Alligator mississippiensis: one gene and its partners. The protein of the gene in region 2 purifies or fractionates together with the protein of the main gene of each other region. This does not show direct contact. Links are inferred from orthologs where the notes say so. Each region holds a gene or a part of one and is shown on either strand. Other genes may lie near its edges.

What was found.
Region 1: the proteins of SOD1 (region 2) and PRDX5 fractionate together in Homo sapiens (co-fractionation; 3 studies listed by BioGRID and IntAct, with this or other methods). This does not show direct contact. The link is inferred for Alligator mississippiensis from reciprocal best matches to the Homo sapiens genes SOD1 and PRDX5.
Region 3: the proteins of SOD1 (region 2) and TPI1 purify together in Homo sapiens (affinity purification with mass spectrometry; 3 studies listed by BioGRID, with this or other methods). This does not show direct contact. The link is inferred for Alligator mississippiensis from reciprocal best matches to the Homo sapiens genes SOD1 and TPI1.
Region 4: the proteins of SOD1 (region 2) and ENO1 fractionate together in Homo sapiens (co-fractionation; 3 studies listed by BioGRID, with this or other methods). This does not show direct contact. The link is inferred for Alligator mississippiensis from reciprocal best matches to the Homo sapiens genes SOD1 and ENO1.

Annotation. Positions count from the first base shown.
Region 1 is NC_081838.1:4,440,020-4,447,662, reverse strand, and holds PRDX5 (peroxiredoxin-5, mitochondrial), read right to left. Parts: upstream 3,018-7,643; 5' UTR 2,925-3,017; coding exon 2,910-2,924; intron 2,283-2,909; coding exon 2,148-2,282; intron 1,781-2,147; coding exon 1,649-1,780; intron 1,218-1,648; coding exon 1,179-1,217; intron 936-1,178; coding exon 871-935; intron 555-870; coding exon 449-554; 3' UTR 231-448; downstream 1-230. Other genes in the region: TRMT112 (multifunctional methyltransferase subunit TRM112-like protein), read left to right, coding at 3,595-3,675, 4,001-4,102, 4,238-4,330, 4,950-5,051; ESRRA (steroid hormone receptor ERR1), read right to left, coding at 6,181-6,410, 6,614-6,898, 6,982-7,149, 7,259-7,381, 7,539-7,643. UniProt on the Homo sapiens protein: Thiol-specific peroxidase that catalyzes the reduction of hydrogen peroxide and organic hydroperoxides to water and alcohols, respectively.
Region 2 is NC_081824.1:290,747,607-290,755,260, reverse strand, and holds the start of SOD1 (superoxide dismutase [Cu-Zn]), read right to left. Parts: upstream 3,002-7,654; 5' UTR 2,944-3,001; coding exon 2,869-2,943; intron 768-2,868; coding exon 674-767; intron 1-673. UniProt on the Homo sapiens protein: Destroys radicals which are normally produced within the cells and which are toxic to biological systems.
Region 3 is NC_081824.1:244,003,900-244,011,032, reverse strand, and holds the start of TPI1 (triosephosphate isomerase), read right to left. Parts: upstream 3,002-7,133; 5' UTR 2,942-3,001; coding exon 2,830-2,941; intron 467-2,829; coding exon 343-466; intron 230-342; coding exon 145-229; intron 1-144. UniProt on the Homo sapiens protein: Triosephosphate isomerase is an extremely efficient metabolic enzyme that catalyzes the interconversion between dihydroxyacetone phosphate (DHAP) and D-glyceraldehyde-3-phosphate (G3P) in glycolysis and gluconeogenesis.
Region 4 is NC_081836.1:10,361,258-10,368,623, forward strand, and holds the start of ENO1 (enolase 1, (alpha)), read right to left. Parts: upstream 3,015-7,366; 5' UTR 2,976-3,014; intron 1-2,975. UniProt on the Homo sapiens protein: Glycolytic enzyme the catalyzes the conversion of 2-phosphoglycerate to phosphoenolpyruvate. In addition to glycolysis, involved in various processes such as growth control, hypoxia tolerance and allergic responses.

The DNA of each region.
Region 1 (7,643 bases), on a different chromosome or scaffold from region 2:
CCTCTGACTGATCCAATCCCAACCTGGGGGAGGTCTGGACAGTGCCCAGCACTCCCCCCACCCCATTCCAGCCTGGGGTGCCTGGACAGCACGCCCTTGATCCTGGCCTGGGGGGTCTGGACAGCACCTGGTACCCCCTGAGCCCAGCTTGGGGCAATCCAGAGCCCCCTACCCCACCACAGCCCTATACCCCCATCTCGGGGCACGGCCCCCAATCATGCACACACAGGTTGAGCTGAACAGAGCCATTTATTCCAGCAAAGTGGGGGTGCAGGAGGCGGGGCCTCAGCAGCAGGGGCGGGGCCAGAGCTTGGGGGTGGAGCCTGTGCACCCCCTACAGGCCCAAATCAGGAGCTGCAGCAGCAAGATGTGCCCCTACCCCTTGTCTCAATGGGGCTCTTGGGTCAAAACTGGGAGTATGGGGTGGGGGGCCCAGACGCCTGGTCCCTCACAGCTGGGAGAGGAGGTTGCTAGCCAGGCTGCAGGTGAGTCCGGTGCCGTCGGCTTCCACGTTGAGGACTTTCACCACCCCGTCTTCCACCACCATCGAGAATCTATGGGGATATCGGGGGTCAGGGCTGAGGGGGGTTCCCCAGACCCTTCCCCAACCCCCCAAAGCACCCCCACCTCCCAAAGATCCCCTAAACCTTCAACAACCCCCTTATCCCCCCCTGCTATTGGGAACCCCCCACAAGGACCCTCAAAACTTGGGGACCCCAAAGCAGTTAAGGGGACCCTACAGACCTTGGGGTCCCACCCTGTGTTCTCCTATCACCCCCCTTCCCAGCTGCCACCAGCGGCCATGCTGCATGCTGGGAAGGGGGGCTGCAGGCACATGTATAAGGGGGACTTGTTTTGGGGGCACCTCACCTTTTGAGGCGGTCATTCCCAAAAAGCTGGCGCAGCGGGTCCTGGTTCAACAGCAGGTCAGTGGCCTGGGAGCAGGAAAGAGGGGGGCTCAGCAGGGGAAGGGAGGAACCCAATCCTGGCCTGATGCCCCCCTCCCAGGTGCCTCTCACTCCCACACCACAGCCCCCTGCCGGTGTCCCTTACTCCTGGCCCACAGCCCCTGCCAACCCCGCTCAGCCAGTACCCCTCATTCCTGACCTGCAGCCCTCTGCTCCCCTGCCACCCCCAACTCTGCCAGTGCACCTCACTCCAACCCACACCCCCCTTACCTTCCCAAAGGCCCCGGTGGGGTCAGCCAGCATCCGCACCTGGGGGGGGAGGGGAAAGAGGATTAGTGTGGTGGGGGCAGAAACAGTCCCCACATGGTTACACAACCCCTTGTTACGCAAACCAGGGCTGCCAAGAATGGGGGTGGCCCAGGAAGTTGAGTCAACTGCCCCAGGCAGGGGTGGGAGGGGCAGTGGAATTGGGCAAGGGCAGGGAAAAATCCTCTCTCTGCCCCTGCCACTGGCTTGCCACCACCACACTCCCCTGCCCCAGCCCCCAGTCAGCTGCCCCGTCCCTGCTCCACACAACCCCCCATCCTGCCCCCCATGCCCTCCTCACCCCACGGACTCCAACCCCCCTCCCCTCCAAGGCCACCCCCACCCCTGCCTCAGTTCCCTCACCTCCAAAACACCGCCCACCCCTAATGCTGCCCCCCCCCTCAGCCCTCCATCATCCCCTGAGGCCCCCTCACCTTGCCCTGGGTGCCAAGAGCTTTGCCCCACTCGCTGACCACAAAGACATCGTTGACGGCCAGGCAGGCGACCAGGTCCACGCCTCGGCCCTGCAGCTCCTTGGCCTCTGCCACAAACCCTGGCAAGTGTGTCTGGGGTGGGGGGGCACACATGGGGGCATCAGGGACCCCCCAGAGACAGTGCCCACCAGCCCCAGTCCTGACCCCACGGGGCCCAGGGATATAAGGGGAAGCCTATCCCAGCCCCCACAACACTTTGCAAGCTTGACTTGGTGTGTTGGTGGGTGGGGGGAGCAAAGGACGTTACAGGGGATTTCCAGGGGGCAGTGGAAAATAGAGGGAGCTGCGGGGGGCAGGGAAGGGCATGGGGGAACCTAAGAGGGACCAGGAAGGTATTGGGTGGGGTCTGGGGGGTGTTGGGGGGTATGGGGGAGTAACCAAGGCTGTAGAGGGGGACTAGGGCAGATCAGCGCTGTGGGGGGTCCAGTGGGGCTCTGACCTTGCTGCAGCCAGGGGTGAAGGCGCCGGGCACCCCAAAGAGGACACCCTTCTTGCCCTGGAAGAGCGTGGCCAGGTTCACCTTGGTGTCAGGGTCCCCCTCGAACACCTCCACGCTGGGCAGGCGGTCTCCTACCTGGGGGGGAAGGGGGAGGTATGGGGGGGTCCCAGCACAGCCAGGACCCCCCCCCAACAGCTCTGAAATCCACTATGGGAATCAGGGGGGGCTGGGGCTGCCAAGGGGAAGCAGTCACATCCCCCCCCGCCCCCCGCACCGGGCAGCACCTCAGCCGCTCCCTGGAGTTTCCCAGTGAATTGCACAACGCCCCCGCCCCGCCCCGCCCTGCCCAGCATTGCCAGGAACACCCCCCCCCCACACAGAGACAGAGCCCTGCCCCCAGCACAGTCTGTGCCCCAGGGCCCCCCTCCACATCCCTTCCCCCCCTCCAGCTCCCATGCCAGGAGACCCTCCAGTGCCCACATGCCTCCGACCTCCACTCTGTGCAGCTGTGGGGCCTCAAAAGACCCCAGATCCCCCCATAGCCCCCCACCCCATCTATGCCCCCCCTTCCCCCATGGCCTGACCAGACCCCGCCTGGTTGTGCCCAGCCCCCCCTCGCCCCTGGATGCCGCAGGACCTGGGGGGGGTCGGTCACTGACCCCCCCCACCCACCATCTTGCCCCCCCAACTCCAGGGACCCGGGGGAGGGAGGGGGCTGCACCGGGGGGCCATGCACGGAACAGGGGGCCCGGCTGCCCTCACCTGGATGGGCGCCATGGCAGCTCCTCGCGCTCCTCCAGCCGGTCAGTTTGGGCCGGACCTGGACCTGGGCCTGGGCCTGGGGGGGGCCCCGCCTGCGGCAACCCCCCGCCCCCCGCTGCCATGACAACGCCCTGAGTGACAACTCCCACGGAGAGAGATCACTTCACGCCCCCCACCCCCCCGGTCAAGGCGCAGCCAGTCGCGGCTGATTTGCATCTCATTTGCATGCGAGGGGCTACTCAATCACAGCTGATCGGCACGCGGCGGGGGGGCAGGGAGGAGGGTTTCAATCACAGCTGATTGATATAACTGGCTCGCGCGTGAGGAAATGAGGGGACGATATTTCACCACGGCTGGTTTGCATCTCATTTGCATATGGTGCAAAGGGCGGGAGGGGTGGACTTTCAACCCGCCCACACACGTTTTGATTAATTTGCATACGATTTACATATCGTTTGCATATCTCTCCCTCCCCCCCGCCCCGCTAGAGTATTCGCCTACTCTAACGGGAAGACGCCGGAACCAGAGCGTGCCGGAAGCTTCTTTCTTGGGATTTGGGTTTCCCAGCCGGACCCTCCCGAATAGCACACCACGGCCGGAAGTGGTGTCTAACGGACACACAAGACGCCTGGACCGGCAGTCACCCGGCTTCCGGCGGGAGCGGAGTCGGCGGCGCTGCGGGAGGATGAAGCTCCTGACGCACAACCTGCTAACGTCGCACGTGCGCGGCTTGCGGCCCGGCGGCGGCTACCCGCTGGGCATCCAGGTGCCGTCACCCGCCCCTTCCCGCCTCCCACGTGGCCACGGACGCTCCTTCCCTCCACCTGGACCCCCGTAGCCCCGCCCCCACGTGCTCACTGCGAGGCCTCCCGTGATCTAGCACTACCCCCACGTGCCCCGCCCCCGCCCCCGCCCCACACGTGGCCGGCCCCGTCCTCTTCTGCGCGGGGGCACTTCCCGCGAAGTGTACGCCCCCGTAGCCCCGCCCCCCAGGCGCCCATGGGGATCCCCAAGCCCCTCCCTCGTGTCAAGGCCCCGCCCCCGCATGGCCTATTGCCGCCCCCAGCCCGAATGACCCCGTCCCCTTTTAGGCCACGGAAGTGAAGCTGAGCCCCGTGGACTTCAACGCGCAGTTCGTGGCGCGGATGGTGCCCAAGGTGCAGTGGGCGGCGCTGCTGCAGGCGGCCCAGAGCGTGAGTGAGGGGCGGGGCTTAAGGTGGGAGGGGCTGGGACCAGGCAATGAAGGGGACATAGGGCAGTGGGGTGGGCGTGGTTACTCAGGGCTGGCCCCTCCCCCTGCGGGTGACTCCTCCCCCCTCTCCCCCCAGCTGGGGCATGGCTCTGACCTGCCCCCCGAGCCCGCCCCCGGCTACGAGAGCGACGAGGACTTCCTGCGGCGTCTGCACCACGTCCTGCTGGAGGTGAGGTCCCCGATGCCCCCGCCACCCTTCCCCGCACATAGGTGCCCCCATTTGCCCACCCCATGCAGACTCTCGCATGGACCCTGGAAACCCCCAAGACATCCCCCACTGGTCCCTAAGCTGCCCCAGACCACCCATGGGCCCCCACACCACCTCTATGGCACCACGGCCCTCAGCACCCTCCCCTGACTTCCCGTGCCCTCTCCCCCACCACCACAGACTGTCACAGGGACACTTGGAAACCCCTGAGCACCCCCATGGACTCCTAATGCCCCCTCCTGCACCCCACACACAGGGCCCCCCCATGGGCCCCTATACCCTCCCCCACCCCCTACAGACCGCTAGACTCCCCCAGACACCCCCTCCCCCAGGGGTGCCTGAGCACCCTGCCTCCCCCTTACCCCTGGGGTTGACAGCCCCTCCCAGATCCCCCTCCTCAGCTTGCTGCGGGAACAGGGGTAACCCCCGCCAACACCAGGGGTGTCACCCCGAAATCCTTCCCCCACACATGTAACCCATCTCCCCCAGACTGCTGTGGATGCCGAGGGGGGGGGGGGGGGGAAGCTGGTCTCCTGCCTGGGAAGACTCCAGCCCTGCCTGACCTCTCCCTTACCCACAGGTGGAGGTGGTGGAAGGCATCCTGCGCTGCCCAGACTCGGGGCACGAGTTCCCCATCACCAAGGGGATCCCTAACATGCTGCTGGCTGAGGAGGAGACCTGAAGGACTGGGGCGGGGGCAAGGGGGGGCAGGACGGGGTGGGTTTGTGTGGGGGTTGGGCTGGACTATGTCTGTTTGCATCAATAAAGCTCGGTTGGGTTGAAGTGGAGAGCTGTGATGTACTGTCCCTGCCTCCACTTCCAACCCGGAGCCCCCCCAATGAAGACACAGCGACCAGGGGTGTCCGAGATCTCCACGCTTTATTGGGGCGGGGGGGGGGGGAGCCCGCCACCGCCCCCGAGGTATTTAGCATATGTACATCTCCATAAATTAACCCAGGCCCCACCCCCAAGCCCTGGTGGGAGGGGACATGGGGATGACCCCCTCAGCCCAGATGGGGCTATTGCTATGTACAGAAGGGTTATTGCTTTGGGGGGGGGGGTCCCTGAGACCCTCCCCAAGCTGGGGATAGGGGGGCAGTCCTGGGGTCCCCAGGGGAGATCAGCCCTATCTCCCCCCTGCCAACAGTGCCCAGGGCTACTTATTGCTTTAAGGAGGGGGACCCCCATCCAGTGCTGAGCTCCCTTCAGGCCCCCCTGAACTGGTGGGGGGGGGGGGAATCAGGGGTCTATGGCTTCCAGGGGTTTGGGACTTGGCTTCCCAGCCCTGCCCCCAACAGAATCTGTCCTTCTGTCCAGCCCCCCAGGGACACAAGGACCCGTGGACCATGCACCCACATCTGCCTCCACCTGGGATGGGTGGCCTGGCCATGGGTCAGCCCTAAGGCTGTCTTTCTGTCTTGCCCCCGGATCCCTCTGTCAGTCCAGTCTGTCTGTGCACCCTGGTCTGGTCCAGTCCAACTGTCTTGCCTCTGCTCCCACCCAGTTGCCCGTGTGTCCATCCACTATCCCCCACTTTCCACCCCAGTCTGTCCGTCCATCACCCCTACCCCTGCGCATCCGTGTCTGGCCTTCAATCCATCTGAATGTCCAGCTCCTGTCCAATGGATCTGTGCGCCTCACCCCCCCACCCCAATCCCCGTCTGTCCAGTCCATCTGCCTCCGTGGGGCTGTCTGTGTGTCTGGCCACACCCCCCTGCCCCCCCCCATCTGTCCCATCTGTCTGCCCCCAGATCCATTGGGGGTCCCTGAGGAGGAGGGGAAGGGCACGTGGGTCTGCCTGGCCCCATCCATCAGTCCATCATGGCTTCCAGCATCTCAAGAAAGAGCTTGTGGGGGGGACCACGGGCACCAAGCTGCAGCCGCTGCAGGTGCCGCAGGGCCCGGGCAGCTGTCTGCCGCAGCAGGGGCAGCGTCAGCAGCAAGCGCCCGGCACGGCCCGCCCCCCCCAGTGCCGCCAATGCTTCCAGCAGCCCGTCCCGCAGCCGCTGCACGCCCGCCCCATCTTCCAGGTGCACCGAGTCTGTGCACAGAGGGCAGAAGTCAGGGGGCCTGTTCCCCTGCAGCCCCACGGTGCCCCCTCGTTCCTGACCCACAGTCCCCATGCCCCAGGGGTGCTCTGCAAGCACCTCCCAGCTCTGCCAGTGCCCCTCATTCCTAACCCACGGCCCGTGCCTGTGGCGCCCCTCACTCCTGACCTGCAGCCCCTTGTCCCCCACAACTCACCAGCATTAGCCAGCGCCAGGGCCTTGAGCAAGACGAATTCCTCACGCTGCAGCCTCAGGGCCCGGTACCGTGCCAACAGCTGGGCCAGGGCAGCGCCCAACTCGGCCAACCCGGCCGCCCGTGCCCCCGCCCCATCCAGCGCCAGGTCCTGGGCGAAGACCAGCGGGGGAGGGTCGGGCCCAGCTCCCCCGGGCAACGAGCGCCAGGCCACACCCAGTACCAGCACCTCCAGCCAGGCTGCCTGCAGCAGACTCATCTGGTCTGGGAGGGAGAGCCCTGCAAAGCCTGGAGGGCATGGGGGGCAGCATTAGGGGATGGTGCGGGTTGGGAGTGAGGGGCAGGGGAGGGGGGCAGGGGTCAGGTCTCACCGGGGATGTTCTTGGCCCAGCTGATGATGACCACGATCTCGCGATCTGCCAGGTCGCACAGGGCCGTGGCCACGCGTGGGGGCCCCTCAGGCAGTGCTGGGTCAGGCATGGCCAGGAGGGGCTCGGGCTCAGCCGCCAGCAGGTGGGACACCAGAGTGGGAAGCGGGGCTGGGGGGGGGCAAGAGGGGTCAGGGTGACCGCTGACCCCTACCCCCCCAGCCCTGCTGGTACCCCTCACTCCCAACCTGCAGCCCCCCCCAGACCCGTGCACACTCACTGGACTTCTTGCTGGCTGCCATGATGACAGGGGGGGCAGGAGGACTGAGGTAGGGGGTCCCGTCAGCTTCTGAACAGCGCTTGTATTTCTGCCGCCCCCCCCGGACCCGGTCCAGCCGCACTCCTGGGGGGAGAACAAGGGGGTCAGGCGGTGGCCTGGACCCCCGCACTGGAGCTGCCAGTGTCCTCACTGGGGGAGCCACAGCTCCTGCTCCCCCAGCCCCCCACACCTGACCCACCACCCCTGCCGGTGCCCCTCACCCCCATCCCGCAGCCCCTACCTTCCCGGAGCATGCCAACGCGCAGGCACTTGGTGAAGCGACAGGCCTGACAGGCCTTGCGGCGCCGCTTGGTGATCTCGCAGGCGCTGCTGGCCGGGCAGCTGT
Region 2 (7,654 bases):
TAGGATCTGGAACCAGCTTCCAAGAGAAGTGGTGCTGGCTCCTACCCTGGGCGTCTTTAAGAGGAGGCTGGATGAACACCTTGCTGGGGTCATTTGACCCCAGTACTTTTTCCTGCCACGGCAGGGGGTCGGACTTGATTATCTGCTCAAGTCCCTTCCAACCCTACCAACTACGAAACTATGCTGTGCTGCACAAGCTTCTTCACACTGCCCTAGATCACAATTGAAAAAGCCAAGCTCCACCAAGAGTCAAATCTTAACTTAAGTTTTGAAAGGAGCCATTTAGAGTTTATCCAAGAAATAGGTTCTCATTTGTGTTTAGCTTAACTTGCTGGCAGGTGCCACAGCCATAGTATTAAACAGCCTCTTATGGCCCACGCATCAGGTTTACAACTGCATGCTGGAATAACAGTAGCTCAGACATGTTGCCATCTATGCCATCACTTCCTGCTGGTAAACAGCAAGACAATGCTGAGATCATTTCAACTCCTTTCTTTGTTTTTACATACATAGGTTTTATGCATGAAAGGAATGTGATTGAAGTGAGAAGCATTACCACAGCTGTCTATTAACCAGTGTCCAAAAAATAAAAGTGGCTGCATCAAATACAATAAGCTAGTAGCCAAACTGCATTATGATAGTGCTACATTGAGACCCTGGATGAAAACTGTACCATTAGTGTTGTCTCCAAATTCATGAACATGGAAGCCATGTTTTCCATCACTCAAACCTTGAATGCTTCCTGACAGCTTTACTGGTCCACTATCCTTCAAAACAAAAAGAAGAAAATAAAATTTCTAGCTTGTTATTAACTCATTACAGAATTGTAAATAAGCATACAAAGGAGTAAAGCTTTGATTGAGACTTCCTGATTGAGAATGCATTCTTCAGTCCTGTGGTTTGTATAGGACTGCAGCTAATGCAGTATATGGTTGTGTGCTGTCACACCCCCAAGGCAGACTCATTCCATCTAAACCAGTTTTCAAGCTTTTTTTAGACTCCTTGGAAAACTTCTTGTTTTTTTGTTGGGTTTTTTTTTTTTTTTGGGGGGGGGGGGGGGGGGGAGGTTACTACAGAAAAAAAAAAAAAATTCTTGTGGTCTTCCCATGTTCTTTGCACCAGAACAGGTCCAAATGTTTAATATTATAACCCAGAGATTTCAAATGGGAATTTATCATGCACAGCATGTCTGCATACCCAGCAGTGCTAGCTTCCAAAAGGATCAAGTCACCCTAGGGTGCCACAGCATCCTGGTCGAGAATCACTGGTCTGAACACATGACTCTAGCATCAAGATTCAGACTGCAAGTGTGCACACAGCTGCCTTTTGACCCATTTACTTCCATAACCTCAGAGGGTTCCCCCCACCCAAATTTTCTTCTATAGAACTACTGCAGTGTCACAGAATCATAGCAAATTTGGGTTGGAAAGGACTTAAGGAGGTCACGTAGTCCAACCCCCTGCTCAAAACAGGACCATTCCCAACTAGATCCCAGCCAAAGCTTTGTCCACTCGGGACTTAAAAACCTCCAAGAATGTAGAGTCTACAACCTTTGGGTAACCTGTTCCACTGCTTCACTATCCTCCTGGTGAGAAACTTAAGGTTAGATACAAGGAACACCCCTAACCCCCTCACCATTTTCACTGCCCTCCGCTGGACTGTCTCCAATTTATCCACATCGTTTCTGTAGTGGGGGCTCCAAAACTGGACACAGTATTCCAGATGTAGCCTCACCGGTGCCAAACAGAGGGGAACAGGGTTCTTCAGGCAAGTCTGATATCTTTATTCTATTTGAGTTAGTCTAATAAAGGGAGAATAGTCACGTCCCTCAATCTGCTGGCAATGCTCCTACTAATACAGCCTAGTATACCATTAGCCTTCTCTGCAACAAGGTCAGTGTTGCCTCATTCAGCTTATTATCCACTCCAACTCCTAGGTCCTCTTCTAGGAAGCTGCAGCTTAGCTAGTCAGCCCTCATCTTTCACAGCAACACTAAGACCTTTATCAAAGGCCACACCTTTGTACACCATGTGTATACTCTTCAAGATACATCACAAGTTAAACACACTAATGACAAACTCATGTTTGTACTTCCCTTCCGCACTCTCCTAGATTTAACCCAACAAGGATCTTAGTTAAGAGCCCTTAAAAACCCATTTTGGCCTTATCTATCCAAAACCACATGCAGCAGCACCTTACTGCAGCATTCCCCCACACCCCTTACGCACAGCTCACTGCTTTCAAGCCGGGGCAGAGGAGGACGGCTCCACACCCATGACTAGGCACATCAGGCACTGACAGGCTGCTCAGACCACCTGCTGCTACAGCTCCGAGACCACAATTTTCCACACCCTGGCTTCAGGCATTGTGCTAGTCTCTAAACTGAAGCAAGGGTGTAGGGGAGCAGTGCCCACCCTGCCACCCAGCCCAGCAGGCTTAGAATTGTGGCAACAGGGGAGCAGAGTTGGCACTGCTGCCACTTACTGTAGGCTGGCTGGCACCACTGCCTAGGTTGGATCTGGCTCACAGCTATTAGCATTAGTGGCAGCAGCATCAGATTGATAGCAATACTAACCATATTACTTTTTAATCAATAACAATATAATATCAAAGCAAGTGACTGCGGGGCCAGCCCCAGCACCCAGCTCTTTCCTGGCTCCAGCTGCTGCCTCTTCTCCCCTACCACCCCTCACCAGGCAGAGCGGGGATCCCAGGACCCCGGCCCGGGTTAAATCGCGAGAAACGCGGACACACGTGCCCACCCCCTCGCATGACTCAGCACTTTCCAGCCTGACCTATCACCTCCCGCGCAGCTTACGTAACACCCGCCGTCAGCCCCGGGGTGGGAGCGCGGGGTCCAGCCCTTGCCTTCTGCTCGAAATTGACGACGCCGGACACGGGCCCGTCCCCGCGCAGCACACACACAGCCTTCAGCGCCGCCATGTTCCCCCGCGCCAAGCAGCTTAACTACACTGCGAAGAAACGCGCACTGGCGTGTTCCTGCCCCTGCGCCACTCCTTTTATATCCGCCCGGCACCCTCCAGCCAATCACGGTGCTGCTCCTCCCCGCTCGCACCGCCTCCTCTATCCCACCCCTCCCTCGCAGCCAATCAGGAAACAGCAGCCGCGCCCACCCGCCAATCAAAAGGCGGAGCCCTGCTGGCGCACCAATCGGCGGCCGCAACGCTGCTCCTGCTCTGAGGTGCTGGGGAAAGACCTCGTTCTGGATCTTGGGAGGGGGCGAGGTCCTTCCGCCCTTAGCTCCTTCCCTCCGCCTTTTTCGCCCTGGGCGCAGCAGTGCGCATGCGTGAGCATAGCGTGCTGCGTGCGCGTCCCAGGGCTGCAAAAGTACCTGCCTTTGTCTCCTCAGCCCCGAGGGGGATGGTTGCTCATAGCTAGACATGCTCTTGCCACCTTTAGTTCACCCCTGCCAGGTCTGACTAAGCACAGCTCTGCAGGCTTCATCTTGGGCGTTAGGGCTGGGGCAGCCATCCCAAGCTGCAGCACTCCGTGGCTATGACTGTTACCTCTGTTCAAATATGCCACAGATGCTGTGCCTACTCTAACGAACCTGGGCCCACCTCACCTCTCAGGCAACCAGACAGTAGTGAGTAAAGGCGAGTAAGAATTTGCTGGATGGAGGCTGAGGATTATGCAACATGGTTACCGCTGCTCATGTACACAGCAATGCAGCATGCCAGGCACAGGTGTCAAATGCTATTTAAGCCCCAATTCACAGTGCCTATCTGCAGCGACTGTTTGAGCTTCAAATCAGGGAGGCAGAAACAGGAGCAGGATGCCTGAAACCCCAGCTGCTTTTTACTCCAAATGTAACAGCACTGGCTGGGCATTTTCACACGTGCTCCCAACGGGGTGCTGGGTGCTTTTAATGAGCAAGCTGTGCTAATTAAAGATGCCCACGTGCTGCATATATCAGAGGCATAGGATATCCCTGTGCTGAGAAAAACGACAGGGTGCTTTGAACTAAAGCATATTGAACGTGTTCAAAGAGCACTGCTGCCATTTTCTCAGCACAAAGGTACGCTGCGCCGCTGATACACATGACGTACAACGCTGCCAGAACTCATCAATTTACGTGCTCCGGCAGACTCGGTTAATAGAGTCTGCTTCAACGTGCTGTTGCAGCATGCTTCCCGCGCATAAGCGCCCTAGAAGACTGGATTTAGACCATTCAGAACTAAAAGCTGTCCTCCAAACCTCCTTGGTAGTGCTAGTAGTCTCCATTATGCAGGCCCAAGTCTCCTTGAAAAGAGGCTGTTCTGAGCAGGGGCTTTCTGTAATAATATCACTTCACTCGGCTAGAGGAGGACTCAGGAATCTCTTTTTTGTGATGAAGGGCTGTGCTTGTGCTCACAGTTCCTCCACCAGTTGTCAGAGCTTTGTAGCTGATCTTTCTGAAGTTTCTGTAAAGGAAATGACATGTTTCATAACACAAGCAAAAAGCTTAATCTCACAGTCATGGGTTTTTTTAAAATATACTTAATTGCTGTAACTTTCTTCCTTTCATAGCCTGTAGCAATGGGGCTAGGTTGAAATTATCCCATGTTCACATGAGGTGAGATGATAAAGCATCATGTTTATTGGCACCTGCACAATTTGAACCTCGTAGTCAGATACAGACGCTAATTACACAAAGTCAGGCCAGAGATCTAGCTGATTACTTCTCATTCTTCTCTGCTCATCTTCTGGCTTCACTTCAAGTGAGGGTGTGTCCAGCTCTTATAGACGCTACTTCTTAGAGCAACCCTTCTCCATGGCAGATTCATCATTATTCATAGATTCATAGATGCTAGGGTCAGAAGGGACCTCAATAGATCATCGAGTCCGACCCCCTGCATAGGCAGGAAAGAGTGCTGGGTTTAGATGACCCCAGCTAGATGCCTATTTAACCTCCTCTTGAAGACCCCCAGGGTAGGGGAGAACACCACCTCCCTTGGGAGCCCATTCCAGATTTTGGCCACTCTAACTGTGAAGAAGTTCCTCCTAATGTCCAGTCTAAATCTGCTCTCTGCTAGCTTATGGCCATTTTTTCTTGTAACCCCCAGGGGCGCCTTGGTGAGTAAAACCTCACCAATTCCCTTCTGTGCCCCCATGATGAATTTATAGGCAGCCACAAGGTCGCCTCTCAACCTTCTCTTGCGGAGGCTGAAGAGGCCCAGGTTCTCTAGTCTCTCCTCGTAGGGCTTGGCCTGCAAGCCCGTAACCACATGAATGGCCCTTCTCTGGATCCTCTCCAGGTTATCCACATCCCTCTTGAAGTGCGGTGCCCAAAATTGCACGCAGTATTCCAACTGCGGTCTGACCAGTGCCTGATAGAGGGGAAGTATCATCTCCTTGGTTCTGTTCATCATGCATCTGCTGATGCACGATAAAGTGCCATTAGCTTTCCTGATGGCTTCTCGTCACACTGACAACTCATGTTCATCTTGGAGTCCACTAGGACTCCAAGATCCCTTTCCGCTTCCATGCCACCAAGCAGGTCATTTCCTAGGCAGTAGGTATGCTGGACATTTTTCATATTGTAAAATTAAACTTAAAATCTCACTCCAAATACCTCCAAAATCTTTTGTCTTCTTAAAATTTTTGTCAAAAAATAGAGAGAAGAGACATCTATCTCCCAGCCAGTCCACCTGGTGGAAGGGCAAACTATAGCACAGGTTGAGTTTGAAGGAGAAAAAGAAAAGGGAATTTTGTATTGGATTACTATAGTCAAAAATTTTAAAGATTAGAAAGGATAGAAAAACTAGGGTCTGAATCTACAATCTCCTGTCAGCGGGCATTTAGGATACCCAGTGTGTACTCAGAATCTCACAGGAAGCAGGGTCTCACAGTAGAGTTGATGATTAGAGGAGACTGAACTTTTTCCCATAGAAAAATTGTTTTATCAAAACTTGAATGATTTGCAGAAAAGTATAGGATCTCAGGGCCAGCATAGACTTTCTTTCAAAGAACTATCCCAGAAGGGATGGGTAATCGTCATGTGAAACAGTAGAGGCCCAGGTTCAACTGCCTAGTCTTGTTGATTTAACAGAGGCACTTGAACCTGAGTTCTGCAACCAAGGCAAGTGCTGTAACCAGTGGCTCACCCCAGTTAAAACCCCCAGTTACAACACTCAGCTAACATGTGAGACACTGTCTGATTCAGAGCAAGGAGCTGAACTTGAGTTTCCTTCATTTCAGGAAGTGCTGCAATGTGGGACTCACCTGCTAAAAAATGTTTCAGTTTCATTACACATCAGAATGAAAACAACATTTCAAAACGTTTATATTTTTTGTGAAATGGAATTGTTTTCTGACTGGCCCTTGCAAACCTTGTAAAAATTAGAAAAAATGGGGTTTTTTGAAAGCATAATAGAAAGCAGACTGTAGAATAGAAACAAGAATACCAGCGCACTTGCAGCTGTGTGTGACACTAGAACAGCAACAATAGCATCTGATTTCCCATTGCCCTGCTTTGTGTCTACACGTGCATTTAATGCTATTTAGACTTAGTGCATGGTAATTTACTGCATAATAAACCAGCCCTGGGAAGGCATCTACACATGCACCCTGTTGGGAGTAGATTTGCTCCTTATAAGATTAAGCAGATCCAGGCCTGCTCCTGCCCTATTCTAACCTCCTCCAGTAGCCAGGGGGAGCTGCAGGCTCCCGATCTAGCTGCCCAGGTGCCAGGGGTCTCAGACCGGTGGGGGTAGGCTCAGCCTGGCAGAGTTCTTCATGGCAGGCAGTCTCAGCCTGGCCAGGGATGCTCTTCTGGGAGCCTGTGATGAGTACACCATGGACGCTCCCCACCCTCCCCCTGGCAGCGGCAGACAGGGCCCCATGTTCGCAAGGCTCCCATGGACCACCTCCTCCCCAACCCCCTGCAAGAGAGCACCTGGGAGGTTGCCTGCAGCCCTCAGGCCTACAGCGCACCCCCAAGACCACGTGCATCCTGTATAGTTTTCAATCAACAATCTTTATTTCTCTCTACCACAACACACTCCTTCCCACCCTCCCTCCCCAACAACAGCTCCCACCCAACACCCACCATCAATAAAACACCTACATGGCAGGCAGGTGAGTGGTGGGCAGCAGCCCAGATGGGCAGCCTGGCTGGGAGGGGAGCTGGCTCAGGAGCAGGGTGGGGGGCCCTGTCCACTGCAGGCACCACTGGACCTCCTCCCAGGCCCACTGTGGGGCTTGGCATGTGACTGCAGCTGGCTGCCAGGGAGCAGGTCTGACTGGAGCAAGGGTCGGGGCTGGGGTCAGGGCCAGCAGCTGGGCAGTGGGTGGCTACCAGGAAGCAAGCAAAGCCGGAGCTGGCGGCTGGGCAGCGAGTGGTGCAAAGGTGGCTGCCAGGGCCAAGATGGTGTCAGGCACCTGACGGTCCTCCTTTGTGACCTCCACTGCCCAGGCCACCATGGTGGCCTGCTCTCCTGAACCTCCATCATCCTCTTGAGGAGGACAGTGTCCCACTCCTCAAGGGCATGGAGCCTGTCCTGGAAGGACAGTCCTCCCAGTCAGTCTCCTGCTCATGCGCAACAGCCTGTGGGACTGCTGGAGACTACATGTGCCTGCACCACAGAAGCATGGTGTCCAGGGGCCAGGGAGCAGCTGGCACAAGCCCAGGGGTCAGGCTGGGGCTCTGAAG
Region 3 (7,133 bases), about 47 Mb from region 2:
GAAGAAAGCTTGAGCTATGGTCAGACTCACTCCCAGTGTTCACCTTCTAGGGCAGCTCTAGCCCCCTGCCCATGAAGATGTTAAAAGATAGTTTGTTTTCACCTCGCCCCAACCCTGCAAAAAAAAAAAAAAAAAATCACTCACCTCATCAGACTCTCCAAAAACATGCCTTCTCTCTGAGTGGCCAAGGATAACCCAGGTAGCTCCAACATCTTTAATCATGGCTGGGCTGAATGGGAAGAAAGGAGAAACATTAGTTTTGGGGTCCGTGTTGAAATGGGTACCTGTTGCAATAAGTTTCAGTTTCTGTTCCACCAGCTCCATCTGCGACTGCAGGCTCACCTAATCTCTCCTGTGAATGCTCCCTTTGGCACCTTGTAACAGTTCTGTGCTGCAACCCCGATCTTTGCATCTAGTTTCTGACGGGTGAAGTCAAGGTAGATGGAAGGGGCTCCACAAACCACCTCTGAAAGATAAAAGATGGAGTAAACCTCATGGGGAGCAGGCAGGGTGTCAGATCTGACCCACCCTCCAGTTGTAGAACTTCCCTTGCCCCCAGGTGCTCACCCCTACTCCAACCCATCTCTCAGCTCTGTTAAGCTGTAGCAACCCATCACAAGCCAGCTTTGTTGAATTTCAAGGACCCACTAGAGCAGGAGGGTTATTGCTGATGCAGTTTGATTTCCTTGCTCACAGAACTTAGGGGGAACACTGTCATAGGAAACCACTTCTCACATCTCTCAACAACAGGATGATGCAATGTTTCAGGTTTCCAAATCAGAGCAAAGGACCCCTGGGAACTGTCCAATTGAAAGTTGTTCTTTTCTTTCTGCAGATAGTTTAGATGAATTGAGAGTAAGGAGGGGAGCACTGACTTGCACAGGGGATTATAAGTGTAACTGGGAGCCAGGAAGGCCAAGATAAAGGGGGAACAGACACAGTGACAGGAAAAAGGTGGTCAGGAACCATTACCCAACACTGAGGGGACTGGGAATCTTAAGGAATCATTACTCCATGAAAGGGAGCAGAAGCCCCACTGTTCAGGTCCCTGAAGAGTAGAGCTACAAGTCCTGAACTACATGTATCCCAGTGAAGCTTCAATTATCCCTACAGCTACACAGTACAGCTTGTCCCACTACAGTAACTAAAGAGCTGTCCGGCTGATGCTTCTCGGACACTGAACTTGGGGAAACCACCACTGCAGCACTCTCTTGTAGACAGTGTGTTCACCTTCCCTGCACACGAGTGGAGGCCAGAAAAGGTGGAGACAGAAGGGATGCTGCTGCCAAGTGAAGGAAAACATAAAAATTAGATGCAAAACAGGGAGGGGCAGGGGGTTCTTCCACTGGGCAGGTCTGATCCTGTCCACTGAACACACAGGCTTCAATCACTACCAAGGCAAGCATGGAGCTTAGAGTCTGGGTGCAGGAGCCATGTTATAACACTGCCTATCTGCATACATATGGAGCTCTGCCATCTAGTCTGTGTACCAGGATGAGACAGGATGCCTACCCCAAACAGGGACGTTATAGTCCCAGCCAGCCACCCACTTTGAAGGCAGCAGCAAGGAAGCCTACAGTACTCAGCACTGCCCTCTCCAAAAAAGGAGGGGGTTGTGATAGTTTCAGGGAGAGTACCTGCAACTAATAGCCCCAGGGGCTGCCCCAGCTCCCCTCCCCTCTGGCCTTTAGAAGGGGGAGAGGGGGGAGGGAATCTGGTTTCCAACACCAAGTACAGTAGCCGATATTTTTAGCCCAGTCACCATTGGTTATATTTAGGCTTCCATCTCCTCACAGCCCTTTGACATTTCTTCAGGGTGCCTCCCGCAGAATAACAGCTCCCCCAGCCCCATCTAGCCCTTTCTGAGGAGGCAGGAGGCAGACATCCAAAGAGAAGGAAGATTCCATGAGTCCTGCTCTTCCCCTGCTGGCCTGGAGCCAAGATGTCCCAAGGACACCAAGAGGAGGAGCAGGAGCCCAGCTAAAGTTGTGAACACAGGATATCAAGCAACCCTCAGGGAGATGGGGGCAGAAGCCCTGTGTAAGGGAGCACAAAGCCTGGGCTGGGAGGGAGGACCAGGCCAGATATGTGCACAAAGCTGAAACAACATAACTAAGCCTGGTTTTAACTGTACTGGTTTAACTCAATTAGCATTGGAACCAAAGCAATGTCAAGTCCTAGAGCAGTGATCCCTGGCCAGGTTCCCACAGCACCCTGGGGTGCCTTGAAGTAGGTTCAGGGTGCCGTGCCATGCTCTAGAGCATGCCAATGTGACTCCCAATGATTTCAAGTAGGAAGCCGTGGTGCTAAACCGATTTTGCCCTGTGGGTTTTGGAGTCTTCTGCCACCAGACGTGCCCTGCTCCTCTTCCACTGGGAAACATGGAAGAGGCCAAGAGCTGGAATTTCCTCAGGCCTGCCTGCAGCCCAGCAAGGGCAGCCTGGAGTCTCAGAGGCTTGAGAGCTGCTGCCCTAAAGGGAAGGGAAGCGAGGCCAGCCCCAGCCCCAGCCCAGGAGAGCAGGGACCTGGGCGAGCCACGTGCCAACTTAGGAAGTCCTGTCCCGCAGAGAGCCAGGGCGAGGCAGAGGAGCGGGTAGCTCCAGCCCAACCCTACCTACCCCCGCCCAGCCGCCCCACGATGGGGCAGCGCCAGCCCGTGTGAGCCGGACGGGCGCCGCCACAGCATCCCCGGGGCCGGGAGGAAGCAGCAGCCGGCGGCGGCGTCACGTGGGCCGAGGCGAGCCAGGGCGTACGTGCGGCGCGGCACAGCGCGGAGACCCGCCCCGCGAGTGGCTGCAGGGCCGGGATGCCGCGCTGCGCGGCTCTCACCGGTCTCGGCGGGGATCTTGCCGCCGTTGAGGGTGTGGATGAGCTCGCCCAGGCTCTTCTTGTCGCCGTTCATCTTCCAGTTCCCCCCCACGAAGAACTTCCTGGGCGCCATAGCTGGAGCGGAGCAAGTAGGACGACGGCTCAGGACGAGGCAAGGTCAAAAGCTCCGCGCAGTCGCCACTGCCGCGCTTTTATAGGCCGGCTGGGCAGCCCCGCCCCGCGTTCCATACGCCCCGCCCCCGGGGCGTTTCCCAGGGGGAGAGAGCGGCCCCTGTCCGCGCTGGAAGACCCCGCGCATCCTGTTCCCTCCCGCTGCCCCGCGCTTCCTTGCTTTGGGGGACACGAGGTTCCTGCACCGCCCTTGTGCGTGTGCGCTCACCTGCCTCTGCCTGGGTCTCAGTGACGAATGATTGCCTGCCCCACCTCACAGGTTGTCATAGCCCAAGAAGCCCTGCTGGGCAATAGGCAGGCTACCAGGACATGGGGGAGAGGGTGCAGTTAGCCCACGAAGCACGGGGGGCTGAGGGGGCCCTTCAAAAGACACTTGTGGCACCCCTAGGTGCCCAGCACCCTGGTCGAGTATCACTAGGCAGTGCAAATCTGTGTTGTCTTCTGCTCACGTTATACACAGAGCTTTTTTTTTTTTTTGGGGGGGGGGGGCTGTGTTGGTTTTTTCAGCTACCTGATTTTACTGCCTAACTCCTGGAGACATTCAGGAGACCCAGGACTGCAGACCACCTGGGGTGGAGCACGCCTGCCTGCTGTGGAAGCTGGAAGCAGCAAGGGGGTGGTCAGGGGCTGGAACAAGGAGTCTCTCCAGAAGTGGAGGGACCCAAGGCAGTGGGGCAGGGTGCTTCTTCAGCAGGGCGGCCAGGAGGCATAGGGGAGCTTTCACTAGGAGGCTTGTCAGGTGCATGGAACCTTACCTGTGTCCAGCAGTGGCCATGGTCTACGTCAAGGGCTTCAAACATGCAGCACGTGGGCCAGATCTAGCTTAGAGCATCTCTATCCAGCCTGGTGGGCAACAGGCAGGCTACCAGAAGTTGGGGGCATGTAGCCTGCTAGAGAACGCAGAGCCCTCTAGCTGTGCTGGCCCATAGCCCTCAACAGCAAGGTTAGTGCACCACATTTGCCTCTGGACACACCTACAACTCCAGACATCTGCCAGCTCCTCAACAATTTGGTGAGGCAGGTACACATGGGTCTGAGGCTGCTCCTGGACCCTGGCCCTGGGCCCCCTCTGCATGATTGCTGTTGAAGTAGTTGAGGTCAGCAATGTGGCCAGAGCTGAAGCATCCTGGGGGCTGGGTAGCCAACACTACCAACAGGATGCAGGAGCATGTCCTTGGCCTCTCTCTGGCCTCAACACAGTCCTCCATTAAGAGTCCCCCTCAACCCCCAGCCTAGTACTGCTCCAGGATCCCAGGGCCCCTTATCTATGGTCCAGGTTTCAATTGGCTGCAAAGTAATGCAGCAGAAGCAGTAGCACTTGCCAATGCAGCTGAATCCTGCTAGTTGTACTTTTTGCATAATTACATTTATTTTTCTATTTGGTCTTGGAAAACCACTAGATGCCCAGAGGAACAGGACAGATTTGCTCCGGGGTATAAATGGCCACTGTGCATTTCCAGAGATGACTAGGATCTCTGTGGAGGAGCATGCTTAGTGGCTGTGGGTACAAGTTACCTGGCTGATGTGTACTGCAGTAGTAAACAGCCAAGTAAGTGCCATTCAATTCTGAAAAAAGTGAATTAGTGCTGCACTTAAGACAGATACCAGAAAAACAGCCTGTAAGTGGCACTTAAGCACCCACATCATGAAATACGATTCTGCCCAAAGCCTCTTCACTGGCCCCCGACTCCTGTTTTAAAAACCACCCTCTGATCAGCCAACAAGTCTAATAGAAGTCAGCCTTTAACTGTGCTTGGCAGTTCCAGATGTAGCAGAGAAAGTGGGGCTTGTGCCAGACTCCACAGTGAAACTTTAGAGGACCTATTATGGAATGAGTGGCCTACACAGGGTGACCTGTCTCTTCCTTTTCATCAGTAGTATCAAAATGCCTTTGTTAAAAAAAACTTTGTGTCCCCTACTCAAAGCTTGATTACAAACCAATGGCCAGCTCCTTTGCAAACAAACTTGATAAATGGATATAATACAATTAACTAATTGCCCATCAAGAATGACCGGGAATGAGGGAAGCATGCCGCCCCCCCTGTCCAAGCCTCCGGGCCTGTTTCCACCCTACTTCCCCTTCAGGTCCAGGCCCATCTCCCCCCCACCCCCCTGGCCTATGTCCACCTGCCTCCCCTAAAAGGTTCCGAAAAATGTATAGATGATATTGTTATATCCTCCAGGCCCATCTTCTCATCTTATACCCCATGTCAATCCACTCACCTTTCTTTAGAGCAAACAGGTAGTTGCTGTCACACTAGACATCACTTACTGTATTGTTCTGTCATTCACAGGTTTCTACTAGGGCCTGATGCTTTCACCCCCTCCTCCAAACCCTGACCATTCAGTTACAAACAGACATCACCCTTGTCCCAAGAGAAAATATTCCCCCCCCCGACAAAATGTGAGCATTCAGATGTCACAGGACAAAGCCCCCAAAAGGTTCTTAGGATAAGAGGTGCTGACAGTTTGTCCTGTGCTATCACAAAGGATGTCTGAATGGTTGTCCTGTGACAGCAGTGGGATCTGCTACTGCTGATGTAGTTTAGAGACTACCATGCACCTATACCACACATGACCAGGCCTGAGGTGCCTGTTTCTGCTACTCAAGCATATCCTCTACCAGCCTGGATCGCCTAACAGGCTGTTACATTCCCCGCTTTCCCCCTGCCATCTGGATTCTCTAGGCTGGGGTGGCCAACCTGTGTCAAGCATGTCACAAGCAGCACAGAGGGTTCTTGTGGTGCACAGCAGATAACAGACTGGGCAGGGAGCAGAGGACATCCAATCAGACCACAGAATAGCAACCAAAAGCAGCAGATTGGGTATGGGAAGGGGATGGGAGTGGCACTTGGGGAGGGTGTGGAGCTCATCTTGTGCCATCCCTGCCAAAAAGGTTGGCTCCAGGAACACTGGACTTTCCTCAGCCAGAGGCTTCACAACCTCTGTGGACATAATGATTCCCACTAGTTTTTAAAAGCCATGACCTGGGCCTGTCTTACTCTTAACATACTACAAAGCCCCAGAGATGTTTTCATCAGTAGGCATACACACTTGGGAGTTGCTTGGTTTTTTTCCCCCAAGGTTGTCATCATCACTGTAACATCATCTACAAAAGCAACTGCTTTAGGAAAAATGGACTCAGGGTGCAGGTCACAGAACATGCTCTCTGCCTCGATGCCCTCCCTGTCATATGGCAAAAAAGTACAATACCAGGCTAAGATACACGCCTGTCTCACCTTTGGTCACAAAAGAATTGGGTTTGTGCCATCAATCTGTAATTCAGTAGCTTACTTGTGTCAGCACAAAGTTTGAAGAGAAAGTGGCATCTTGTATTTCTTTTATACCCCTTACAAACAGCCATGAGCCACTCCATCAAAAGGGCTTACCTCTGGCCTAATAAACAAATACATCCTTTCCTTTGGCCTCTTGCTCTGCTTTAAACACCCATCTCAAAGCTCAGAGCTGACAGTTTCAGCAGCATCTTCCTTTAACCATGCTTTACCAAGCCAAGTGCATCAAGGAACAATGCACCTCCTCCCCCCCCAATAGTGTCTGCAGCAACACCTATGAAAATGATCTTAACATCTGTTTGTTAGTGAAAATATCTATCCCCCTTTTGTAAACAGAATCAACATTCCTGTTGTATCATTTCTACATCTTTCTGTGAATCTTTGACTCTTGTGCTTTTACACAAGCTAGAGAACTATTCCTGCACTGCACTTGGCATACTTATAAGGTCTGTTTTAAAGACCCCCCCTCCCCAAACAATGGTCAGATACACCTGTGGGCTCTGTTGTGTCCTGCATGAGTCCCTTTCTTTATACCAGTGATTCTCAAACCAGGGTGCCATGGCACCCAGAGGTGCCCCAAGATCCTTTCAAGGGTGCCATAAGATGCTGTATAATATTAGCACTGTTTGGTGTGCAAACATGTTCACAAGATAAATTCAGAGATTTCAAATCGGAATCCATAGTGTTAAAAACATTCTGGCCTGCTATAGTGTTTCTGAGTTCTTTGCAACAGAATTGCTCTGGTATTTTTCTGTAGTCAAAAAAAGTGTGTTAAAGAGCTGGCATTTTCTGAGGGGGGCCTCAAATGTAATATAACAGGTGCATAGACTCTAAAAATGT
Region 4 (7,366 bases), on a different chromosome or scaffold from region 2:
GTAGCGTTTCCTTTCCCTGTGCCCAAATCCCTATAATCCAACTGAGGCTGCTTTTAAACAGCAGAGCTCATTAGGCTCTCCTATGGGCTGCATCTTGCTTTCATTTTCAGGGCTGCAGTGCAATCAAAGAAATGATGTCCCACCTTCCAAGAGAGATGTCAGTTCACAAGGAAATGGAGCAGTGAACTTCTCCCTTGTACAAGCAGGAGACTATTTCTCCTAAGCATTCCTCACTGTGGCCATCTCATAAGGTCCCGGACAAGGAGGCACATTGCTCCAACGTCCTTGACAAAATGCCCTCCCCAAAGCCCCTCCCCTTCCTTAGCAGCCATGCAGTTTCCAGCGCTGCAGCGTTACACAACTGCACAGAGCCGTCTGCCAGATAGTCTGACCCGACATGGCTCAGGTGCCTCCTGCTCCGATTCACTCGACCTCAGCCACGAAGGGGAAAGGAGAACAAGAGCCACCTCAACCCAGCTATGCTCCTGCCTGCCTGACTTCATGTTGCTGGTTGCATGCCAGGGAGAAAAGACTCTAGAAGCCAACATCTACAAAAGGATTTGGAAAGCAGAAATGTTCCTGGAGTCTATTCAGTGCTTGGAGATGGAGCCATGAATATAAAGTCTGCACAGCTGCAGCTTTGTATCTTGGTAGTTACAAAAAAAGAGGGAAACATTGAGCAACTAAGTTGCTCCTGATCTATGAGCAGGGTCAATTCTCCTATTAGGAAGACAGGAAAAGGCAGGCAGGGAACACACGCTAGGCTGGGACTTGCAGCATCCCGAATTCTGTCGCATCAAGCCTCTCAGATGTCTTATGTCCCATCCAAATTCTGGTGTATGGGGACAGTACATCACACAAGCAGCTGGCATGGGAAATTAAGCCAATTTCAACCTCAGGATTAAACAGATTGAAGAGACTTTTAGGCCACATCTTCACTGCCAAAAAAGGGAAGGATTCTGTGGCTAACTCACACTTGCCAAGTCATTATGCAAACGCCCCTGTTCTGGTAAGGAAATATGGTCTAAGATGGACACAGCCACTCGTTGCTGCTCAATATGACAGGCTGCTGAGGACGATGAAACAGTCCAAAGCGCAAGGGCACGTCCATGGCAGAGTCCTGCCTCTCTGCAGGGCCCAGGTTTTGTTATACAGCCACCAGCAGTTTGCTTGAACTTCCACTTGGTGCTGAACAGGATTTCCTGGAGGTCTGCAACCTCACCTACACCAGGTAATGAGCAAATGCAGCAGGGCGAGGTCCTGACACATCGCTTCCACAAGATAAGATGCAGTCAGAGTATGACCTTAGCAAGGACTCCTTCAGATCCCACCTCTCGACATACAGCACGTGGCTCATTCATTTGTATGCCTTCCATGCAACAGCCCTTAGGACCGTGCTTGGCACCCAGTGTGGCAGGGAATGCAGAAGTCAGGAAATGCCCAACTGTTCGGAGTCCATGTTTTTAATCAAGTGGAGGCCAGGGACTGCATTGCCTCCATTTGTGGTTTTGGAAGCGAAACAAGGGCTTCCTTCCTGCACAGCTCAAAGCCTGCATCCCTGCCCTGTGACTCAGCGTAGCCATTAACGGAAAGTCTGGATGACTAAAATTCCTCTCCTGACCACCTGCACCAACCCAATGCCAGTCAAAAGGAGACTTTGCACCATTTTTTCACTAGTGCATCAAGACAGTGGAGAGTCCCATCAGGTTACAGCCATTACCTCCCACCCTGTTCCAAAAGCAATGGGACATTTCATTATTTTCATGGTCAGATTTCAGTGACAGCCGCTAGCAGAGAACATTGGTCGAGCAATACACTCAATATTTGAGAACCAGGGCTGAAGGGCAGCTACTGTCGCAAGAGAGGAGAAGGTCCAGGGGACTGAGCAGTATCCAAGACAAACTGTCACTTGGGCCGTTAATCATTAAGAGGGGCATTTTATCTAGTCTTTGAGGAAGCAGGCTGCAGAACAGCACACAAATACGCACCCTGAAAGCTGCTCCCTTCCATCGATACAGCATGACTCAGTTCTCACTACAGGGAGGTGCACTCCTACTCAGCACTACTAACGTCATAGGAAAAGGAGGACTTAGGTAACCTGCATATATTACTGCGGCTGAGTCATAAGAGGCCGTTTCTAGAGGTCTAGTTCCCACTGCAAAGAGCACGTGCTTGACTGCTACAGCGTGCCTGGCCTGGCCGATATCAGCATGACCCAGGGGCCTGCAGGCCTTGCAAATCACTCCCTAGCTCTGCCCAGATTAGATGAGGAGCTGGTATGCGAGGCAGGGGAGCAGCCCAGAATGGGGTTGCTAGGGCTGCTCTGCTCTCCGGTTTCAACACCAGGCCCTTGCCCTGGCTCTGCACCCAACAGTGCCTGCACGGGCAGGGGAGTGAAACCCAGGACGGAGGGAGGGATTCAGGGCACGGGGGAGGATAAGGAAATGGAGAGAGGGAAAAGAAGTAGAAAGTGCAGAGGGGGGAAATAGGAGGAACAAGGAGGAGGAGGAAGATGCAGAGGGGGGAAATAGGAGGAACAAGGAGGAGGAGGAAGATGCAGAGGGGGGAAATAGGAGGAACAAGGAGGAGGAGGAAGATGCAGAGGGGGGAAATAGGAGGAACAAGGAGGAGGAGGAAGATGCAGAGGGGGGAAATAGGAGGAGGATGCAGATGCAGGGGTGGGGGGCGGGTGGATGGGACTAGGAAATGGAAGGAGGGAAGAGGAAGAAGGTGAAGAAGTACTGGAAGAAGCGGAAGGATGGGGACTAGGAAGCAGGAGGAGGGCCGAGGAAGGGGCTGACGACGATGGGAGCAGGGAAGCCGCCTGCCCAGCGCACAGCCCTGGTCCTGGTCCTGCTCCCGCCCGGCCCGGCCCGGCCCGGCCCGCTGCCCGGGGCGCGGCGGGGGAGAGACGCAGCGCCCCCCGCTCCCTGCAACCCCACGGCCCGCCCGCCCGCCCGCCCGCCCGCACGCACCGGGACCCAGCAGCAGCAGTGGCAGCGCCCAGACACGACCCGACACGACCGTCTCCGCCGGCAGCTCGCAGAGAGTGGGCCGAGCGGCCGCCCGCGCGCCTATACCCGCCCCATGCAGATGCGCCGCCCGGCCCGCCACGCCATTGGTCCGTCCGGCTCCGGCGGCCGCCTCCCATTGGCCCAGCGGGGCCTGGCGCCGCCCCGCCCCTGCGCTCGTGCGGGACGTGCAGGCGCCGTGGAAAAACCCCGCGCCGCGTGCGGGCCGCGCCGCCAAGGGTTAACCCCTGTGTCCCCCCAAACATGCACACCCCTACACACACATCTATGCACACAGCAAAGCCCCCTCAGGTTTAGCAGCGCCCCAAAGAGCGGGGGTGCCCTATGCCTGCAAATCCGAACCCCCTTTTTAAAAGAGGTGCTTTTGGGTGCCTCTGGTTGGCGGCCGGGTGCTGCCAGCAGGGTTATGCCCCGGGTAAAGCGGAGGAGCAGCCCCCAGGGCAGCCCACCGCGGGACTGGAGCCAGGCCTGGCTTTCTGGGACTACGAAGTTGCTGGGGAAGGTCCTTTCGGGCCTCCAGATGGATTTGCAACTATCCCCCAAATGCAGCCCAGCATCGGGCAGAAATTCATAACAATCAAATAATAATAAATTGGAAAGGTTTCTCTGTTTGGATTTTGCCTTTTGGAATGATTTTCATTCAGAAAATTTACCTAAAGTTACTCGTAGTAAAAACTGGGGTGAGGACCCTGAAATCAAAAGCTGACACTTTGGTTCAGATGGAAGAAAAGCCCAAATGAAGTCGTTCGGGGTTTTCATTTTGCTCAGGAAACTGGAAAAGCAACAGTTTGGTCCACACTATCATGGACGAAATCAGGAAATTGCAACAAGTCCCATTCCCTTCTCTTTTTTGGCTGCAGGAAAGATGAAGGAAGAGGCTAGGACAAAGCGTAGGCAAGCAGTTGTGGAGAAGAAAGGCAGGGGGGTGCTGGAGACATGTAGCTAGGTGCTAAGCGGCGAGGATTCAGTGAGTTTAGCTTGTCACGGCGCCGGCAAGAATTTTTGCACTTCTATTATCCCCTTATGAAATGCAGGCCTTAGGGTCAAAAGATAAGGCACTGATCTGTGCAGCTAACACGTGCAGTGCCATTTAGCCCTTCATAAGGTTTTGGTGGGTGGAATGCGGCTGCGAGGGGGATGGGCAAGGGGAATTTCACTGTGGCTGCCAGGTTTCAATCCCTCCTCCCCACCTCAGGAGTGTACTAAACTGCCTGTCTAGAGATGACATGCTGCATTGGCTCATAACGAGAGCTTTGAAAAGCAGGTTTTTTTCATATTGCACAGAGAATGCACCAGAACTTCAGTGAATGTAGCATCCTTTCATGTGCCAACCCAACCCTTTAATATGCAGCATCACAGAAACACAAATCAGATACAAGCATCTTCTTTCGGCAACACAAAAACTGCCAAGTAATTGAAAAGGTCTTTGAAGAAAATGGCCCTGAACAGTTTATGTTTCCATTCTCCAAATGGTCACTCTGAAGACAAGGGGGGAGCTGTTCTTTGTTAGCAAATGGGGAGCACGTGCTCTGCAAAACTGCTCGTGCCTAAGTATTTGAAGATAAGAGACCATTGCATTGTTAGCAATGGGGATTTGGGATGTGTAAAAAATGCTGGATTTAGGCCAAGGGAAGTTTTTCATTTCAGTCTGCTTTGGATTAGGAGGCCTGTGTCCTGTAAGTGAGAACAAGAGCAGCCAGTTAAAAATATATATTTTGCAATGGATAGGTATTTGAAATACTTATTGGTACTCGCTGTGTGTTTTCAAGATGGGGCTGATAGTAATGCTTAAAACGGACTGCTGGCAGTCCTTGGACTTACAACACAATTGGTTCCTGAAAACCCTGTCTTAAGTCGAAACATTGTAACTTGAAACCGATTTTTCCATAGGATGCAATGTTATAAATGGGGGATTGGTTCCTGAACCAAGGCCCAATACCCTATTTTCACCAAAAATAACCGAGAATTTTGTACTCAATCAATTATAGATGCATAATATAGCTAGATTAATGTATTTAGACTGTAAATAGTAATCATATTGATTCGGAAGGACTTCTTTGAGGTGACTTTGCTGGACTTTTTGAAGGGCTCTTAGCTGGAGTGTTCTCAGGAGTCTTGGCTGAAGGTTTTCCTGAAGTCTTGAACTTGTTCACTGGCATGGCGTCGCATCGGATCAAGCATTGTAAAGTTGAAACTGAGGTCAGAAAGTTGAAACAGGGTGTCAATTTCTAAAAGTTGTAAGTGCGAAACGTTGTAACTCGAAACGTTGTAAGTTGAGGGTTGCCTGTACACATACTGTCCCTAAGAGACAAAAGAAAATACTTTGGTACATTGTTTCAGCCTTACTTCTCTATGAAATAAAGACACAAAAATGGATGAGGAACAAATATTGAAGCATGGTCTCTCCCCCCAACCCAGCCTCTCTCTCTCCCACTGACTCCTCAATTTACATCTTCACTGACTGTCTGTCTTGCATGCAGACCAGACCAGCCTCTGGCTTCTTTACTTTTCATGCCATCCAGGAAGAGCACACACCAACTGCTGAAACTTCCTCAGCCTGATGAAGGGTTTTTAAACCCAAAAGCTTATTTAAATGTTTTCCCCCCCCAACTATTTAAGTTGGCCTAATAAAAGATATCAGATTCACCCAAAGAACCTTGTCTGATGAACCATGATAAATTCTGAGAGGTGAGAATTTCATAGGTTGATATCTTTTATTGGAACAACTGTAGTTGGGATAGTTAGACAAGCTTCTGAATGCAAGACATTCTTCACAACGAAATGCAAAACCCTGAACTTTGGAGTTCAGAGCTTATAGCTTTTATTAGATCAACTAAGAAATTGCAAAAAAAATATCTTTCTTTGGAAGTTTTCGGGTACATGCACCTTCTTTAGGCTAAGGAGAAATTAAGAAGGGTACATGTGCCCGAAAGCTTACAAAGAAAGATAATATTTTTGCAATTTCTTAGTTAAAAGGTATCATCTCTGAACCAAGAGTTTTAGAGCTTTGCATTTCTTTTTGTCTCAGACCAACATGGCTACCACATACATCCCTGAGACATTCTTCAACAAGTTCTGTGAAATGCATTTGGATTTTGGAACAAATCAATATCAACAGCACTTGCATCTCTTTTGGGTTCACTATCCGTCAACAGCCAAAAGCAACAAATGCTTGTGGAAGGCTGATTTGGAAGCCAAATCGTGTGTGTGTGTTCATAATAAATTAATTTTAAATGTGCACTCATGGTGGGCTCATGCATCAAACAGACAGAGGACACCTATAAAATACCACCTGATTTATCTAACCAATTGCAACTTGGCAGCAATTCTGAAGGAGCATATTTCAAGGGCCAAGTGATCTCCCAGGACAGTTTAGTATCACATGCCATGGAATCAAAACTGTTTGTCAAAATAATGTGATAAATACTTCCAAAGAAACTGTGCTCCATTCAAGGACATTTTGTGACAAGCACAATAATCAGATAACTTTTCAATGATACTGATTCACTCAGCTGTACTTACTCTTTCTTGTTACTGGGATAACACTTGAAAGGCATGTGATGTTGAACTGTGCACAAAATGCGCAGAGTCCCAGCTCTGGAAATTAATAGCTTGCTTTTTATGGAGTCAGTGGGGATCCCTTGTCATGGTGTATAATAAGAATGTGATGTTTTGTGCGAGTCACTCCCCATTGACAAAGCCGCTGAGAAATACTTTCCCCCCTAGGATTCACTTGATCATCTTGCACTATCAGCTGTTCCCAGCCCACAGCTGAGTAAAGCCTTACTGGACTCAAAGCTTCTGCTTGACATGCCAAAAAGTCTATGGCCAGAGCCAGTGTGAGCTGCGGAAGTTGTGACATACCCTGATCCATAAGCAAAGATAGAGTCTCTTCCTGCTACCAGCTGCCAGTCTCTTCCAACTACTTTGCTTCCAAGGGTACTTGTTGGACTGGCTGTTCTGATTAGAGAGACATAGATAGCTCTGCTGGTCTGAAGTCAAATATAAGGCAGAGTAGCTTTGCACCTTATAGACTGGGGCGGGCAATTTTTTTGGGTGGAGGGCCGCTTGCTGAGTTTTGGCAAGCCATCGAGGGCCGCATGACAAGCAGCCGGGGCAGATAAATATTGATTTTCTAAATTTTGTAGGGGCCCCATGGGCTGGATACAATGGTCTGGCGGGCCACATCCGGCCCGCGGGCCACATTTTGCCCACCCCTGTGATACACTACCTAAAGTGTGTATGGAGAGCACATGCTTTTGTGGGCTGAAACTCACTTCATCAGATGCTGTGAAAGGACATTTAATGTTCTGATCAGGTCAGCCGGGTCACAT